3 linked regions of the Saccharomyces cerevisiae S288C genome follow. The gene in region 1 interacts genetically with each later gene. Each region holds a gene or a part of one and is shown in the gene's direction. Other genes may lie near its edges.

The links.
Region 2: mutations in XRN1 (region 1) and SKI7 together harm fitness more than expected from each alone (negative genetic interaction), as found in Saccharomyces cerevisiae (6 studies listed by BioGRID, with this or other methods).
Region 3: mutations in XRN1 (region 1) and POM34 together harm fitness more than expected from each alone (negative genetic interaction), as found in Saccharomyces cerevisiae (4 studies listed by BioGRID, with this or other methods).

What each region holds. Positions count from the first base shown.
Region 1 is NC_001139.9:173,906-182,070, reverse strand, and holds XRN1 (chromatin-binding exonuclease XRN1), read left to right. Parts: upstream 1-1,957; coding exon 1,958-6,544; downstream 6,545-8,165. Other genes in the region: FG-nucleoporin NUP49, read right to left, coding at 1-1,371; BUD13 (Bud13p), read right to left, coding at 6,726-7,526; ssDNA endodeoxyribonuclease SAE2, read left to right, coding at 7,749-8,165. UniProt on the Saccharomyces cerevisiae protein: Multifunctional protein that exhibits several independent functions at different levels of the cellular processes. 5'-3' exonuclease component of the nonsense-mediated mRNA decay (NMD) which is a highly conserved mRNA degradation pathway, an RNA surveillance system whose role is to identify and rid cells of mRNA with premature termination codons and thus prevents accumulation of potentially harmful truncated proteins.
Region 2 is NC_001147.6:468,877-473,605, reverse strand, and holds SKI7 (Ski7p), read left to right. Parts: upstream 1-1,985; coding exon 1,986-4,229; downstream 4,230-4,729. Other genes in the region: Mn(2+) transporter ATX2, read left to right, coding at 1-131; BUD21 (Bud21p), read right to left, coding at 237-881; RTS2 (Rts2p), read right to left, coding at 1,009-1,707; UFE1 (Ufe1p), read right to left, coding at 4,354-4,729.
Region 3 is NC_001144.5:178,207-181,563, reverse strand, and holds POM34 (Pom34p), read left to right. Parts: upstream 1-1,957; coding exon 1,958-2,857; downstream 2,858-3,357. Other genes in the region: PSR2 (putative phosphatase), read right to left, coding at 83-1,276; MEU1 (S-methyl-5-thioadenosine phosphorylase), read right to left, coding at 2,943-3,357. UniProt on the Saccharomyces cerevisiae protein: Functions as a component of the nuclear pore complex (NPC).

The sequences.
Region 1 (8,165 bases):
GATTCTCTCAGCGATATCCATAAACAGTGTGAATTCCTCAATGACAGTAGAGACTATGGCAGCTAAGCCTGTCTTCAACTGCAGTAGGTTCTCTGCTTCGGATGAACCTAGATCTGCTGTGATAGCTGTAGAATTAGGGTTATTTGGGGCGCCAAATAAATCTGTATCAATGCCATTTACCGCAGTTTCTATATCAGAGAGAATACGGCAGTAATCCTCTAACTTCTTCTCGTAGAGATGAATTTTCTTTTGAAAGAATTTGTCTAAGTCATTAGAAGAAATTTTGCTTCCCGGAGTTAATAGTTGCTGTAAGAGCACCGAAAAAGTTTGCGTGTCTAGAAGGTCCTCATCGATTAGCGATTTAAATGAGGATATTTTCTTCAAATCTTGCTTTAAATATTGACTTGTTGCAGATTCTGACTTCAGTAGGTATGCAACATCACGAGGAATGGAATCTATCAATTCATCATGATCGATTGTATCGGCCTTCAAATGGTGCGAGATCTGCACTTGTTTTTGAATATATTGATCTAGTTGTTCAATTTCTTGACGTATTTGAGGTGGTAATTCGGAAATCCGTGTCATTGGGGTAATAGGGAGCTGAGATAGATTTTGCAATGCGCACTGCATTTGTGGTTGTTGCTGCAGTTGCTGCTGCTGATTACCAAATAGCCCGCCTGACGCACTCATGATGTTGTTACTATTATTGTTATTGTTGTTGTTATTTGATGAACCAAACAAAGACGTTGCTCCTGTCGGTTTGGAGCCAAATAACCCTCCACCAGTGGTCGTATTACCTGCATTATTGCCGAATAGAGATGTACCAGCTGGTTTTGCACCAAACATGCCCTGGTTCTGCGCAGGGGCCGAAGAGGTGCTTGTATTACCGAACAAAGAAGTGCCTCCTGCAGGTTTAGAGCCAAATAGTCCAGCGCTTGCATTATTCATGCCACTACTACTATTATTGATATTATTAGTGTTATTATTACCAAACAAACCACGACTCGTCTGTGCATTGTTGGAACCAAACAAACTGCCAGAATTACTGTTCGAATTAGCGCCAAATAACCCGCCCCCAGTGTTCGCCGTATTGTTAGGTTTGTTACCGAAAAGGCCCCCTCCGGTGGTGGCGCTTCCTCCAAATGCATTTGTCTGAGATTGTTGTTGCTGCTGACCAAATGATGCACCTAATCCTCCTGTAGATCCGGCTGGTTTAGCGCCAAATAGTCCACCTGTACTTGGGCCGGTGTTTTGTCCAGTTTGAGTCCCACCAAACGAAAACCCAGTATTCGCGTTTCCAGTGCTAGCTCCGCTGGCCTGACCAAAGAGCCCACCTGCAGGTGTCGAAGATGCTTTATTTAATCCAAACATTGTGCCCACTACCCGTGAAAACCCTCTCAATTACTGTTTTTATCGTCTCATCACCTGATCAGTAACTATTCTCACGATTAATGGTCTTTTTCAACTACATTTATTTGAGAAAGCTGTAATACATTCCGTGTTGAGTGATATATACAACCTCCTTTGCTCGTCTTTTCGCCACCGCAGAGCAAGTAACAACAGAGACAAACAAGAAGAGGTTAGAAAGCAATTTAAGGAGTAGTTTAACGAGTACTGAAAACGTCAAACTAAGTACTTACGACTTCCAATTACCGGTTGTAAAGTTTATCTACGCAAATATAACAGTTGCAGCTTGCTTTTTTTTTCAGCAGCTCTTCCGTTATTATAAAATCTGTTTGGCGTTCGCACAAGCGAACCGATTCTTTTATTATTTTCTCTCTGCCTTTTATTTCCGTTCCTGTTAATAGTTTATTTTCTAAAGGATACTGTCTTCTTCCGTACTTATAATCGGGTTCACAATAAGCAATTGACTAATCCTAGGACGATTCGTGTACTATAAGGAGAAAAAAAATCAACACTTGTAACAACAGCAGCAACAAATATATATCAGTACGGTATGGGTATTCCAAAATTTTTCAGGTACATCTCAGAAAGATGGCCCATGATTTTACAGCTTATTGAGGGAACACAGATTCCTGAGTTTGATAACTTATACCTGGATATGAATTCGATTTTACATAATTGTACGCATGGTAACGACGATGATGTAACCAAGCGATTAACTGAAGAAGAGGTTTTTGCAAAAATCTGTACGTATATCGATCACCTTTTTCAAACAATCAAGCCCAAGAAGATTTTCTACATGGCTATTGATGGTGTGGCCCCTCGTGCCAAGATGAATCAACAAAGAGCTCGTAGATTCAGAACCGCTATGGATGCAGAAAAAGCCTTGAAGAAGGCTATTGAGAATGGTGACGAGATTCCTAAGGGTGAGCCATTTGATTCGAATTCTATTACTCCAGGTACGGAGTTTATGGCCAAATTGACCAAAAACTTACAATATTTTATTCACGACAAGATTTCTAACGATTCCAAATGGAGGGAAGTGCAAATCATATTTTCTGGCCATGAAGTTCCAGGTGAAGGTGAACACAAGATCATGAACTTTATAAGGCATTTAAAATCCCAAAAGGATTTCAACCAGAATACGAGACATTGTATTTACGGTCTTGACGCAGATTTGATTATGCTGGGTTTGTCTACTCATGGGCCACATTTTGCGTTATTGAGAGAAGAAGTGACATTTGGTAGAAGAAATAGTGAAAAAAAATCGCTTGAACATCAAAATTTCTACTTATTACATCTTTCTTTATTAAGAGAATACATGGAGTTGGAATTCAAAGAAATTGCCGATGAAATGCAATTTGAATACAATTTTGAACGTATTTTGGATGATTTTATTCTTGTCATGTTCGTCATTGGTAATGATTTCTTGCCCAATTTGCCAGATTTGCACCTTAACAAAGGAGCATTTCCCGTTTTGTTACAAACGTTCAAAGAAGCTCTTTTACATACTGATGGCTACATTAATGAACATGGTAAAATAAATTTAAAGAGATTAGGTGTCTGGTTAAATTATCTGTCTCAATTTGAGTTATTAAATTTCGAAAAGGATGATATAGACGTTGAGTGGTTCAACAAGCAATTAGAGAATATTTCTTTGGAGGGTGAAAGGAAAAGACAGAGGGTTGGTAAAAAATTACTGGTAAAACAACAGAAGAAATTAATTGGAAGTATAAAACCATGGTTGATGGAGCAATTACAGGAAAAATTATCGCCTGATTTACCAGATGAAGAAATTCCAACTTTAGAGTTACCTAAGGACTTAGACATGAAAGATCATTTAGAATTTTTAAAAGAATTCGCTTTTGATTTGGGTCTTTTTATAACGCATTCCAAATCCAAAGGTAGTTATTCGCTAAAAATGGATCTTGATTCTATTAATCCTGATGAAACAGAAGAAGAATTTCAAAATCGTGTTAATTCTATCAGGAAAACAATAAAAAAATATCAAAATGCTATCATCGTGGAGGACAAAGAAGAATTGGAAACTGAAAAAACGATTTATAATGAAAGGTTTGAACGTTGGAAGCATGAGTATTATCACGACAAGTTAAAATTTACGACAGACAGTGAAGAAAAAGTGAGAGATCTTGCTAAAGACTACGTTGAAGGTTTACAATGGGTTCTATATTATTATTATAGAGGATGTCCATCTTGGTCGTGGTACTATCCGCACCATTATGCACCAAGAATCTCCGACTTAGCCAAGGGTTTAGATCAAGACATTGAATTTGATTTGAGCAAACCATTTACTCCATTCCAGCAACTAATGGCAGTTTTACCGGAAAGGTCCAAAAATCTGATACCTCCCGCCTTTAGGCCATTAATGTACGATGAACAGTCGCCAATCCACGATTTCTATCCCGCTGAGGTTCAACTTGATAAAAACGGCAAGACAGCTGATTGGGAAGCTGTGGTTTTGATATCGTTTGTAGATGAAAAAAGGTTGATTGAGGCTATGCAACCTTATTTGCGCAAGTTATCACCTGAAGAAAAAACGAGAAATCAATTTGGCAAGGACTTGATATATTCCTTTAATCCTCAAGTTGATAACCTTTATAAGAGTCCGTTGGGCGGCATTTTTTCTGATATTGAACACAATCATTGTGTCGAAAAAGAGTACATCACCATCCCATTGGACAGCTCCGAGATTCGGTATGGTTTATTACCTAATGCTAAACTCGGTGCCGAAATGCTGGCGGGTTTCCCCACGTTATTGTCTTTACCATTTACTAGTTCACTGGAGTACAATGAGACAATGGTTTTCCAACAACCTTCTAAACAACAATCAATGGTCTTACAAATAACTGACATATACAAAACGAATAATGTTACTTTGGAGGACTTTTCCAAGAGGCATTTAAACAAAGTGATTTATACAAGATGGCCATATTTAAGAGAATCCAAATTGGTCTCTTTAACGGATGGTAAGACTATCTATGAATATCAGGAGTCCAATGATAAGAAAAAGTTCGGATTCATAACGAAGCCTGCGGAAACCCAGGACAAAAAACTTTTCAATAGTTTGAAGAATTCAATGCTAAGGATGTATGCTAAACAGAAAGCTGTTAAAATAGGACCTATGGAAGCCATTGCTACCGTCTTTCCAGTGACTGGTTTGGTGAGAGACTCTGATGGTGGTTATATTAAGACCTTTAGCCCTACCCCAGATTACTATCCATTGCAACTGGTTGTTGAATCTGTTGTCAACGAGGATGAAAGATATAAAGAAAGAGGACCCATTCCTATTGAAGAGGAATTTCCATTGAATTCAAAAGTTATTTTCTTAGGTGATTATGCCTATGGTGGTGAAACTACTATTGACGGTTACAGCAGTGACCGCAGACTAAAAATTACTGTAGAAAAGAAGTTTTTGGATAGTGAGCCCACCATCGGCAAAGAAAGGTTACAAATGGATCATCAAGCCGTTAAATATTATCCGTCTTATATTGTGTCCAAGAACATGCACTTACACCCCTTGTTTTTGTCTAAGATTACTTCCAAGTTCATGATTACTGACGCTACTGGGAAGCATATCAATGTTGGTATCCCGGTTAAGTTCGAAGCTAGACACCAAAAGGTTTTAGGTTACGCGAGGAGGAACCCTAGGGGCTGGGAATACTCAAATTTAACTCTAAATTTACTGAAAGAGTATAGACAAACTTTCCCAGATTTTTTTTTCAGGTTGTCCAAGGTAGGTAATGATATCCCAGTTTTGGAAGATCTTTTCCCCGATACTTCCACTAAGGATGCCATGAATTTATTAGATGGTATCAAACAATGGCTAAAGTATGTCTCATCGAAGTTTATCGCGGTATCTTTGGAGTCTGACTCCTTAACTAAGACATCGATTGCTGCCGTGGAAGATCATATCATGAAATACGCAGCTAACATCGAAGGTCATGAAAGAAAACAGTTAGCCAAAGTTCCTCGTGAGGCTGTTTTGAATCCAAGATCATCATTTGCACTCTTACGTAGTCAAAAGTTCGATTTGGGTGACCGTGTTGTTTATATCCAAGATTCTGGTAAGGTACCAATTTTCTCAAAGGGTACAGTTGTTGGCTATACTACTCTCAGTTCATCATTATCAATTCAGGTCTTATTTGATCATGAAATCGTGGCCGGTAATAATTTTGGCGGCAGGTTGCGCACGAATAGAGGCTTAGGGCTTGATGCCTCTTTCTTATTGAATATTACTAACAGGCAGTTCATTTATCACTCCAAGGCTTCCAAAAAGGCTTTGGAAAAGAAAAAGCAATCTAACAATAGGAACAATAATACCAAAACTGCTCACAAGACTCCTTCAAAGCAACAATCTGAAGAAAAACTGAGAAAAGAAAGGGCACATGATTTATTGAATTTTATCAAAAAGGATACCAATGAAAAGAATTCTGAAAGTGTAGACAACAAGAGCATGGGATCGCAAAAAGATTCCAAACCCGCAAAGAAAGTTTTGTTAAAAAGACCAGCTCAGAAAAGCAGTGAAAACGTGCAAGTTGATTTGGCCAATTTTGAAAAAGCACCGCTTGATAATCCAACTGTTGCTGGATCTATTTTCAATGCCGTTGCAAATCAATATTCTGATGGTATAGGCAGTAATTTGAATATCCCAACTCCACCTCACCCAATGAATGTGGTTGGGGGTCCTATTCCTGGAGCGAATGATGTTGCAGATGTTGGTTTGCCGTACAATATTCCCCCAGGTTTTATGACGCATCCTAATGGTCTTCACCCATTACACCCTCACCAGATGCCTTACCCTAATATGAATGGAATGTCTATTCCGCCACCAGCACCACATGGGTTTGGACAACCGATTTCCTTCCCACCTCCACCTCCTATGACAAATGTTTCAGATCAAGGAAGTCGTATTGTTGTCAATGAAAAGGAAAGCCAAGATTTGAAAAAATTCATTAATGGTAAACAGCACAGCAATGGTTCAACTATTGGGGGAGAAACAAAGAACAGTAGGAAAGGCGAGATTAAACCTTCTTCTGGCACAAACTCTACTGAATGTCAATCGCCAAAGTCACAAAGCAATGCTGCTGACCGTGATAATAAAAAAGACGAATCTACTTAGAACATACGACTAAAAACGAAGTATATTCGAGGTTACTTTAATAGTATATCTGAGACCTATATAAAGAGGGGTATTTGTATTTAATCGTTGATCTTGTTAAGAAAAAGCTTATAACAAATGGGGATTGTCAAAGGGTATTTTTTACACAAAGCTTTCCGCATAGTTATATATTATCTCATTTTCAATAATCCTCCTGTAGGGTGTAGCTTTGCACTTTCTTCTCATTGATCTCATTTTGCTTAGCAAACCATTTTTCTTCAAAGCCATTTGATCTGTGGACACCGTCCCATCTTGACCCAGGCATAATGGCAAACCTGTTCTCAGGTGCTGGCTTATCATAAAGCTTGCGGCCCAGTAAAGATGTTTTTACAGTTCTTTCTTTGTCATGTGTAAATGTTATTGCAGGGTCTTCTATCGTCAGACTCGAGGCAGTTTGATTTTTCTTCTTATCATGTGCATCTACATTTATTCCAAGCTTTTGCACGTCTCCCATATTCAAATTTTTCAGGTATTGCTCTCTTTCCGCGGCTTTCTCATCTTCATATTTAGATCGACTAAAACTAGAATCGTCTATCTTGGAATCTTCCTGAATCTTGTGACCTTGAGCGTCTCTGTATATGGTTTTTCGTGTTTTCGATTTGTCTGCTACTGTGACAAGTGGCTCTTGAGCCCTGATTTCCTTTAGATCGTTCTTGCTTTCGTTGCCAGTAATTGACGATGCGGAAGGATGTGTTATTGCATGGGAAAGCTCGTTTGTTTCCAGGTTCTTCCATATATTCTTGCTTTTTTGTTTGTCAAACTTGCTGAATGAAGCAACTCCTGACTTCTCCTGTTCTTGTTGCAGTGTACTTAGCCGTTCTTTTACTATCAAAGAAGTTTTGTCTGAGTTAGCGTCTGATTTTGACTCTTTCTTCTTCTTTTTCGTCTTATTTTTGGGTTTCGTGGGCCCATAAGTCTCTGATAAATACTGATGCAATGCCATGTAATAAACGTCCTGTTGTTATCTTCCACCATTCGAGTCTTGAGAACAACTTTCAAAATCAAGTCAAATAGCCATTTTCTTTATGCCATTTTCTAAGCGCGTTCTACAAAAAAAAAGCTTTTAAGCTTTAATACCTTTTTTGTTTACGTTTGCAAACATTGTTATCGTTCACATACCTGCATTTCCATCCATGCTGTAAGCCATTAGGTGTTTGTATGTGAGATGGTGACTGGTGAAGAAAATGTGTATCTAAAGTCAAGCTTATCCATTCTCAAGGAGCTCAGTCTCGATGAACTACTAAATGTGCAGTATGACGTGACTACCTTAATCGCGAAACGTGTTCAAGCACTGCAAAATCGGAATAAATGTGTTCTCGAAGAACCTAACAGTAAACTGGCTGAAATTCTATGTCACGAAAAAAATGCTCCTCAACAATCCTCTCAGACGTCTGCGGGGCCAGGTGAGCAAGATTCTGAAGATTTCATCCTTACTCAGTTTGATGAGGACATAAAGAAAGAATCAGCAGAGGTTCACTATCGTAATGAAAATAAACACACTGTGCAGTTACCGCTGGTTACTATGCCACCTAATAGGCATAAACGGAAAATTTCGGAGTTTAGTTCGCCTTTAAATGGCCTC
Region 2 (4,729 bases), on another chromosome or scaffold:
TTGGTGGAGATTCTCATGATCACGATCTCAGCGTTGAACAGGAAGTCGTTTTACCTCATGATGAATCCGTTTATGTTTTGATAGGTGTCTGCATACCGTTGGTGATATCGTACTGCATCTCTGAAGAATAACCTACCAAACTTCAGTATATATTCTCATTGTTTGATTATAGATAAATGAACATTATGATTAATTTTGTGATTGTACTATTATTTTATTATGTTGTATGCTATATATTACCCTTTATTCAAAGCCTTTCTATTTAGCCAACGGTCTTTTGAACGTATGATGGATGATTCTTTCTTTGGTGGTAATGTTTTAGAATCTTGTGTGGTGGATAACAATTGAACTCTAAATTTTCCTCTTTTCACCGAATCTTTCCTTAAATTTTTTAATGTCTTCCTTTTCTTAGTTTTTATAGCTTTAGCCAATGCCTCTTCATTTTCATCTGACTCATCCAATTTATCGAAAGTTACATGTCTTGAAGATGAGTACTGCGTACTACCTTCGTCCTTCTGATCTATATTTTTTAGCAATTCCTCAGGAAGCTCCGCAATTACTTCATCAGTGACCTCTGTCTCATTCACTGATTTCTTTTGCTTGGCGTATAATTCATTTTGCTTCCTTCTCTTGGACCGCAATTGTGATTGTTCCAGCCTTATAGCCTCCTCCCTCTGAGTGATCTGTGATTCTACCTCACTTTTCCCAGAGTGAAGCCCTTCTTCTTGTGGAGCATCATCATCATCACTTTCCTCATCACTACTTGAATGCACTTCCTTGTCCTTTTTTGATATTACCAGCACATCATCTTGTCTATCCGTGACAGCACTTGCGCTGGCTTGACTTTCATCGGCATCAAACTTGACGTGTCCATTACTCATTGTCTTACTTAATACGTGTATACGGGTAGTAACAGTTCAGGGTATCAATTCGTACTGCCTTCTAAACATATTTGGGCTTGTTCGAACAACTTCGCTAACCTCATCGCTTGAAAAGAAAAATTTTCAATCAACGGAACTTGATACCATCTTTCCGTGGAGGAACCTTCTTTTTCTTTTTATTTACCCGACCATTCCCGTGGAAGGTGACTTGAACACGTTTCAGAGTGCTATCCCCGCTAATTTCCGATTTCATCTCTGGTTGATATACCTTTTCAGTTTGTCGCTTAGCACGATTGAGTTGTCTTTTCAAAAGCTCGGCGGCTATGACTTCTTGCTCCTCTTGTTGACTTCGCAGCATTCCATCTTCAGAAGGTGATGATAAAGATGAGGGATGGATCCTGATAAGCAAAGGACCTTCAACGTTCTCAGATGTATCATCAATATCCATATCCACGTCTACCTTGCCCGCGCGGCCTAGGTACCGGACAAACTGCGTCAAAGAACGATGCATGGTGGCATTCATATGTACATGATCGCGATCTTGAACATACTCGTTGTATACTTTGTTAGCATCAATCCATTTTTCTCCGTGCCGCTGCTTCAATAACTGTAGAAATCCCTTTTCAAACTGGATATTGTAGCGCCTAGCGTCCTCAGCTGTCACTTGACTAATCTTCCTTAAATGAGATGGCGATTTGTTATGTGATTGAAATCCGTTTGCATCTTTACATTGCCTTTGGCATATTTGGCAGTAGTAACGGGTTTTCTGTAACCCACGACGAGCTCCCTGCTTGGACCAATATTTCGCACTATCATAATCTGCCATCGCTGTGATTTTCTACAATCAAACAACCCTGTGTTTTCGCTCTTTTTAGGACTTGTCAAGAAAAGAATGATGATACTGACTTTTCCATTTGATATTAATTTCAACTAGCGGAGTTTTTCCAGTTTTCAAAGTACAGGACAAAGTGTTGTGTAACCCGGACCAGATTTACATTGGTGTACTATAATATGTACTATAACAGATTGGAGGTATAAACCTAGAGACCCTTCTACAATACACGTACGAGGAGGTGGTCTTCGAAACTTACAGTACCACCTGACATGTCGTTATTAGAGCAATTAGCAAGAAAAAGAATAGAAAAATCTAAAGGCCTTTTAAGTGCGGACCAGTCTCATAGTACATCGAAAAGTGCATCCTTACTAGAAAGACTACATAAGAATAGAGAAACTAAAGATAACAATGCTGAGACAAAAAGGAAGGATCTGAAGACGCTACTTGCAAAAGACAAGGTAAAAAGAAGCGACTTTACCCCGAACCAGCATAGTGTTTCATTGAGTTTAAAGTTGTCTGCCTTAAAGAAGTCAAATAGTGATTTGGAGAAACAAGGAAAATCAGTGACATTAGACAGCAAAGAAAACGAACTCCCTACCAAAAGGAAATCGCCTGATGATAAACTCAACTTAGAAGAGTCATGGAAGGCTATTAAAGAAATGAACCATTACTGTTTCTTGAAAAACGATCCATGCATAAATCAAACCGACGATTTTGCGTTCACAAACTTTATCATAAAAGATAAAAAAAACTCGTTGAGTACATCAATACCGCTATCGTCGCAGAATTCATCATTTCTGTCCTTAAAAAAGCATAACAATGAGCTCCTTGGTATTTTTGTGCCTTGTAACCTGCCGAAAACAACTCGTAAAGTAGCCATTGAGAATTTCAATAGACCAAGTCCTGATGATATAATACAATCGGCCCAACTTAATGCTTTCAATGAAAAATTAGAAAACTTAAATATCAAATCTGTGCCCAAGGCCGAAAAAAAGGAACCAATTAACCTTCAAACACCACCTACTGAGTCGATTGATATTCATTCATTCATTGCCACCCATCCTCTGAATTTGACATGTTTGTTCCTCGGTGATACAAACGCAGGCAAATCCACTTTGCTTGGTCATCTTTTATATGATCTAAACGAAATTTCTATGTCATCAATGAGGGAACTACAAAAAAAAAGCAGTAATTTGGATCCTTCATCTTCAAATAGTTTTAAGGTCATTCTAGACAATACCAAAACAGAAAGAGAAAATGGATTTTCCATGTTTAAGAAAGTTATTCAGGTAGAAAATGATTTACTACCGCCATCATCAACCTTGACGCTTATAGACACTCCTGGTAGTATCAAATACTTCAATAAAGAAACTCTGAACTCAATTTTGACCTTTGATCCTGAAGTTTATGTATTGGTTATTGATTGCAATTATGACTCGTGGGAAAAATCATTAGATGGTCCAAATAATCAGATTTATGAAATTTTAAAAGTGATCTCTTATTTGAACAAGAATTCCGCATGCAAAAAGCACTTGATAATTCTTTTGAATAAGGCAGATCTAATTAGTTGGGATAAGCACCGACTAGAAATGATTCAGTCTGAGCTAAATTATGTGTTGAAGGAAAACTTTCAGTGGACAGACGCAGAATTCCAATTTATCCCGTGTTCGGGTTTATTAGGTTCGAATTTGAATAAAACTGAAAACATCACAAAATCTAAGTATAAGTCAGAATTTGACTCTATAAATTATGTTCCCGAATGGTATGAAGGTCCGACATTTTTTTCGCAACTATATCTATTGGTAGAGCATAATATGAACAAAATAGAAACAACTTTGGAAGAGCCATTTGTAGGCACAATACTGCAATCTTCTGTTCTTCAACCGATAGCGGAGATAAATTACGTGTCACTCAAAGTCTTGATCAACAGCGGATATATTCAATCAGGCCAGACAATTGAAATTCATACACAATATGAAGATTTTCATTACTATGGTATAGTTTCAAGAATGAAGAATTCAAAACAAATACTGGAGACTAACACAAAAAATAATATATCAGTCGGTTTGAACCCTGACATTTTAGAGGTTCTTGTTAAGATTCATAATACCGAAGACTTCACGAAAAAGCAATTTCACATTCGTAAGGGTGATATAATAATTCACTCTAGAAAGACGAATACACTATCACCGAATTTACCAAACACACTAAAGTTGTTAGCCTTGCGTTTAATAAAATTATCAATACAAACGCACGCGCTAAGTGATCCCGTTGACTTGGGTTCTGAATTGCTTCTTTACCATAATTTGACGCACAACGCGGTAAAATTGGTGAAGATTCTCGGGACTAACGACATCTCAATTAATCCAAATCAGTCACTTATTGTCGAAGTCGAAATTATAGAACCAGACTTTGCTCTTAATGTGATTGATTCCAAATACATTACCAACAATATTGTTTTAACATCAATAGATCATAAGGTTATCGCAGTTGGCAGAATTGCATGCCAGTAATCCTACAACTAAGAAATTATACTAGGCATTCATACTTATTGTTTAATATATAAAATGAATAGTAATAAGTTGATGATAGATTGATTTTTTTAACCCATTTTACACATATCTTATGAAAGTGATATTAACCTACATAATCTAGGAACAATATAAAAACACCCATGATAATGGCACCATAAGTGGTCATTTTAGCAGTTCTTCCAGCAGCTCGTTTCGCTTTACGTAATTCTTTATTTCCCTTCTTAATATTCAATTCAATGTCATCTTGATTGTTCAGCATTAGGTTTATATTTTGAGATTGCACCGTTAAATGATTGGACAATTCGTTCTGTATATTGACAATGTCTAAAATTGTTTTGTTTATAGTCTCCACTTTTTTCAATTGCTCATTTTTTTGATTTAGCAGTTCCGAATGTTCTGTCTCCAACACTTGTAGTTGCTCCTGGGTTAATTTGGATATCGTCTCTTCATAATGTTTTACTTCGTCTTGTACAGTTTCT
Region 3 (3,357 bases), on another chromosome or scaffold:
AAAGAGAAACATGAGTTCGTCCAAACATATAACCGAAGGGGGGGGTAATAAAAAGAGCCTGCTTTTTATGTTACTGAGAAATCTATATCGTCACATCCAACACGCTCCCCACATCCAACACGTTTCCTGATGAAAGGTCCTCCAAAAGTGGGATAATATCTAGTAACTCATTATCATGAGTATCAGAGAACCAAGAAGATATCGGAACAGCATGTTGCGGATGAAAGATGTAAGAGGCCGGCGAATTATCTAAGATGATTGTTTCGGACAATGGTCTTCCGATCTGCGATAAGTTCTTGATGTAGTTACCTTCGTAGTTATAACAAGCTTCTCTGAATAATCGATGATGGATGGTTCCATTAGGGTCCAACGTATCTAAAAGGGGGTTTGCATACCTCGAAACACTTGCCGTGAACACAACAACTTCGTATAGTTGACTCACCCTGTTCAAGAACTCATCGACGCCTGGCCTCTTAATAACATAGACATTGTGAACTTGATCATCGATTTCGACGGGCAAAACGAAATCAGCTGAATGCATATATTTAAAGGAAGAATGTACCAAAGTTTCGTCTAGATCCAATATCAGACATTTTTTCTGTTGAAATTCTTGCAACTTGGGTGGTAGCAGAGTGTCGTATCCGGGGGCATGGTACTGGTCTGGTTGCAAATGCGTCAGGTCAGAGAAGTCCTCCTCCGTTGTAGGTATCAAGTTTAAATCATTATCAGGACTGCTGGCGACATATTGTGGATTCATATCTTCTTGACCCACCTGATACAGACCCTGTTGTGGTGGCGCCTCGTCATTAATACTGGAATTTCTATCTGCGTCAACGTTATATTCATGAACGACATGGTCTTGCTTTTCTTTTGCTTCGTCATCTTCTTCTTCTTCTTCTCCGGCATTGTTAACCTCCGTCATTTCTACGTCTCCTTCATTATAATCTTCATATTCTTTCTCCTCATCGTACGAGTTGTTGGAGTGATCTCTTGATAAAGGTGCTAGTTTTCCATTGCCGCTATTCCCATTCTCCTGCATTGTCTTGGAACCCGCATTGCTGCCTGAATCGGAACTAGACAAAAGGATCTCCGGTGTGGAATATTGCATCTTGTCGCCGTTTGGAGTAGCCTTCTGCTTACGACCCTGAGTTTGAGCTTTGTTTGAACTGTGCTTACGGTTGCGGTTGCGGTTGTGATTAGTTTCTGGTGGTTGGCGTTGACGATGTGTTTTGGAAGTATCTGAAGAACAGCACAGTATATTTGCTATAAATCCCATCTGATGATGATCTGAAAAAGCTCCCTAAAACAGACAGAGAAGCACTCTTCACTCAGTTTTTATTGCCAAATAAGTGGAAAATTAAAACGAAAGAACTCAAAAGCAGCACTGCGCTCGAAGAAAGATATATCTTAGCTTAAATCCTCTCCAAAAGGGGAGAACGAAGAATATGTGTAAATTAAGCGATGCTTCGTGGGTTTCTTTTACGCGCTGCGAAAAAGATAATCAAATCTCTAAATTTTAGAAATATAAGCCAGTCGGTAGCCCCCACAAGTCAATTATATATGTCAAAGTTCGTGGCACTGTGGACTGCTTTCATAAAGCTTCTCTTTATCTGTTCCTTAGACTGTGAATACTGAGGTTTTCTAAAAAAAAGCAAAAAAAAAAAAAGAGGGTCCAAACCTATTAACTTCAGGGTTTAAGTATCTTTTTTGTAGGTTATAATGTTCTTTTTATAAACCTTTCTCAGGTTATAATAATATTTCTCAGGTCTAATTAGGGCTAAAGTCTAAAGAAAAATGAAAAAAAAAAAAAATGAAATTTGTGCTAATAGTAATAATGATAGAAATAATAACAATTAATAAGATGGTTATGATGAACAAAAAGATTTATATTATAAGAACTTGACAATATACAGACTTTTAATATATCCGCAGAGGCAAAAAAATAATAGAGGGAACTATGAAGATTCAGGCGGGCCAATTGGGCCTGGACGATAATGACGTGCCGGGACCATTGCCGGACACAGACAGCAAACCCTCATCACAATCACAAAATGACACACCAATGTTTAAATTGGGCAACTTTGAAAGTCCTGTGCTCAAGGAGCTATCACGGCGAACGGTAAACAAGGAAATGGAGACGCAGAGAATTATGACAAACGTAATTGCGTTTGCGTTCTGGAACCTGCTGGTGAAGTTCATCAAGTTCTTTTGGAACAACACTCATGTTGGGAGACAGTTTTGCAACCGGCTATCCAGAATCCATCTGTACATGTTGACATTTCACACGTTAAAGAAGGCTAACATCATATATCACACCACGTTCAGTTGGTTGAATGCAGAACTTCTTGACTACTTGTTCCACCTATTAATCTCGCTCAATATACTGTTTTCTCTTTGGAAGCTCTTATCCACCGTCAAAGTAAGTGATTTGAATCTCACTGACAGGCAAAAGAAGCTCCTGGGGGTAGACATGCAATCATCTGTCGATACTGGGTTGCAGCCACAACACCCCCACTACGTATCCACTTCTAAGATCAGCCAAATGGCACAGAACAAAACACATATTCCTCAAACAAATCTCAAAAATCATCCAGCATATCTCTTCAAAGGCTTAGAGACGCCTTTGAAAGCAAGACAAAGGGAAATGGCGGAGGAACAGACGAAACTACAATCTCAATCCTTACACACAAAGAATGTATTTGGCACACTGCAGAGGCATAGCGGTATCAGTAGCACATTAGTGAGCGCTAACAATGACAATAACTCGCCGCATACCCCTGTAACTAGGAAGGGCTACATTCCAAGTAGCAAATATGCATATATGATGAACTCACAGTCCCCAAGGGGGAAAATATAAAAACAGCAAAAAAACATTTAATACTTTCCATAGCTATATATGTTTTCTCTCCTATTTATATTTTACATATGATTAGCGGCAACCATTACCAATAGTTTGGAAATAAGTATCTTAGTCTTTCTAAGGTTTCCTTGGACATAGCCTCTGGTTTGGTAGAGATAGATTTCTTGATGGAACCGCGCAGCCCATCGCCAGTATGCATGAACTCTGGGATTTCCTTGGCCATTGAGACGATGATCTTAGAAGCTAAAATATTTGCATTGCGCCCATTATTCGTCAAATTACCAATAACGGTTTCTACGGTAACAGGTTCTGCCTCATCTCTCCATGCGTCGTAATCGGTAGACATACAAATCATCTGGTAAGGCAGCTCACACTCACGCGCCAATTTGGCTTCTGGAATAACACTCATGTTAATAACATGGCCACCAAACATTCTGTACATCTTGGATTCAGCGCGCGTGGAGAATTGTGGGCCTTCCATACACACAACGGTCATA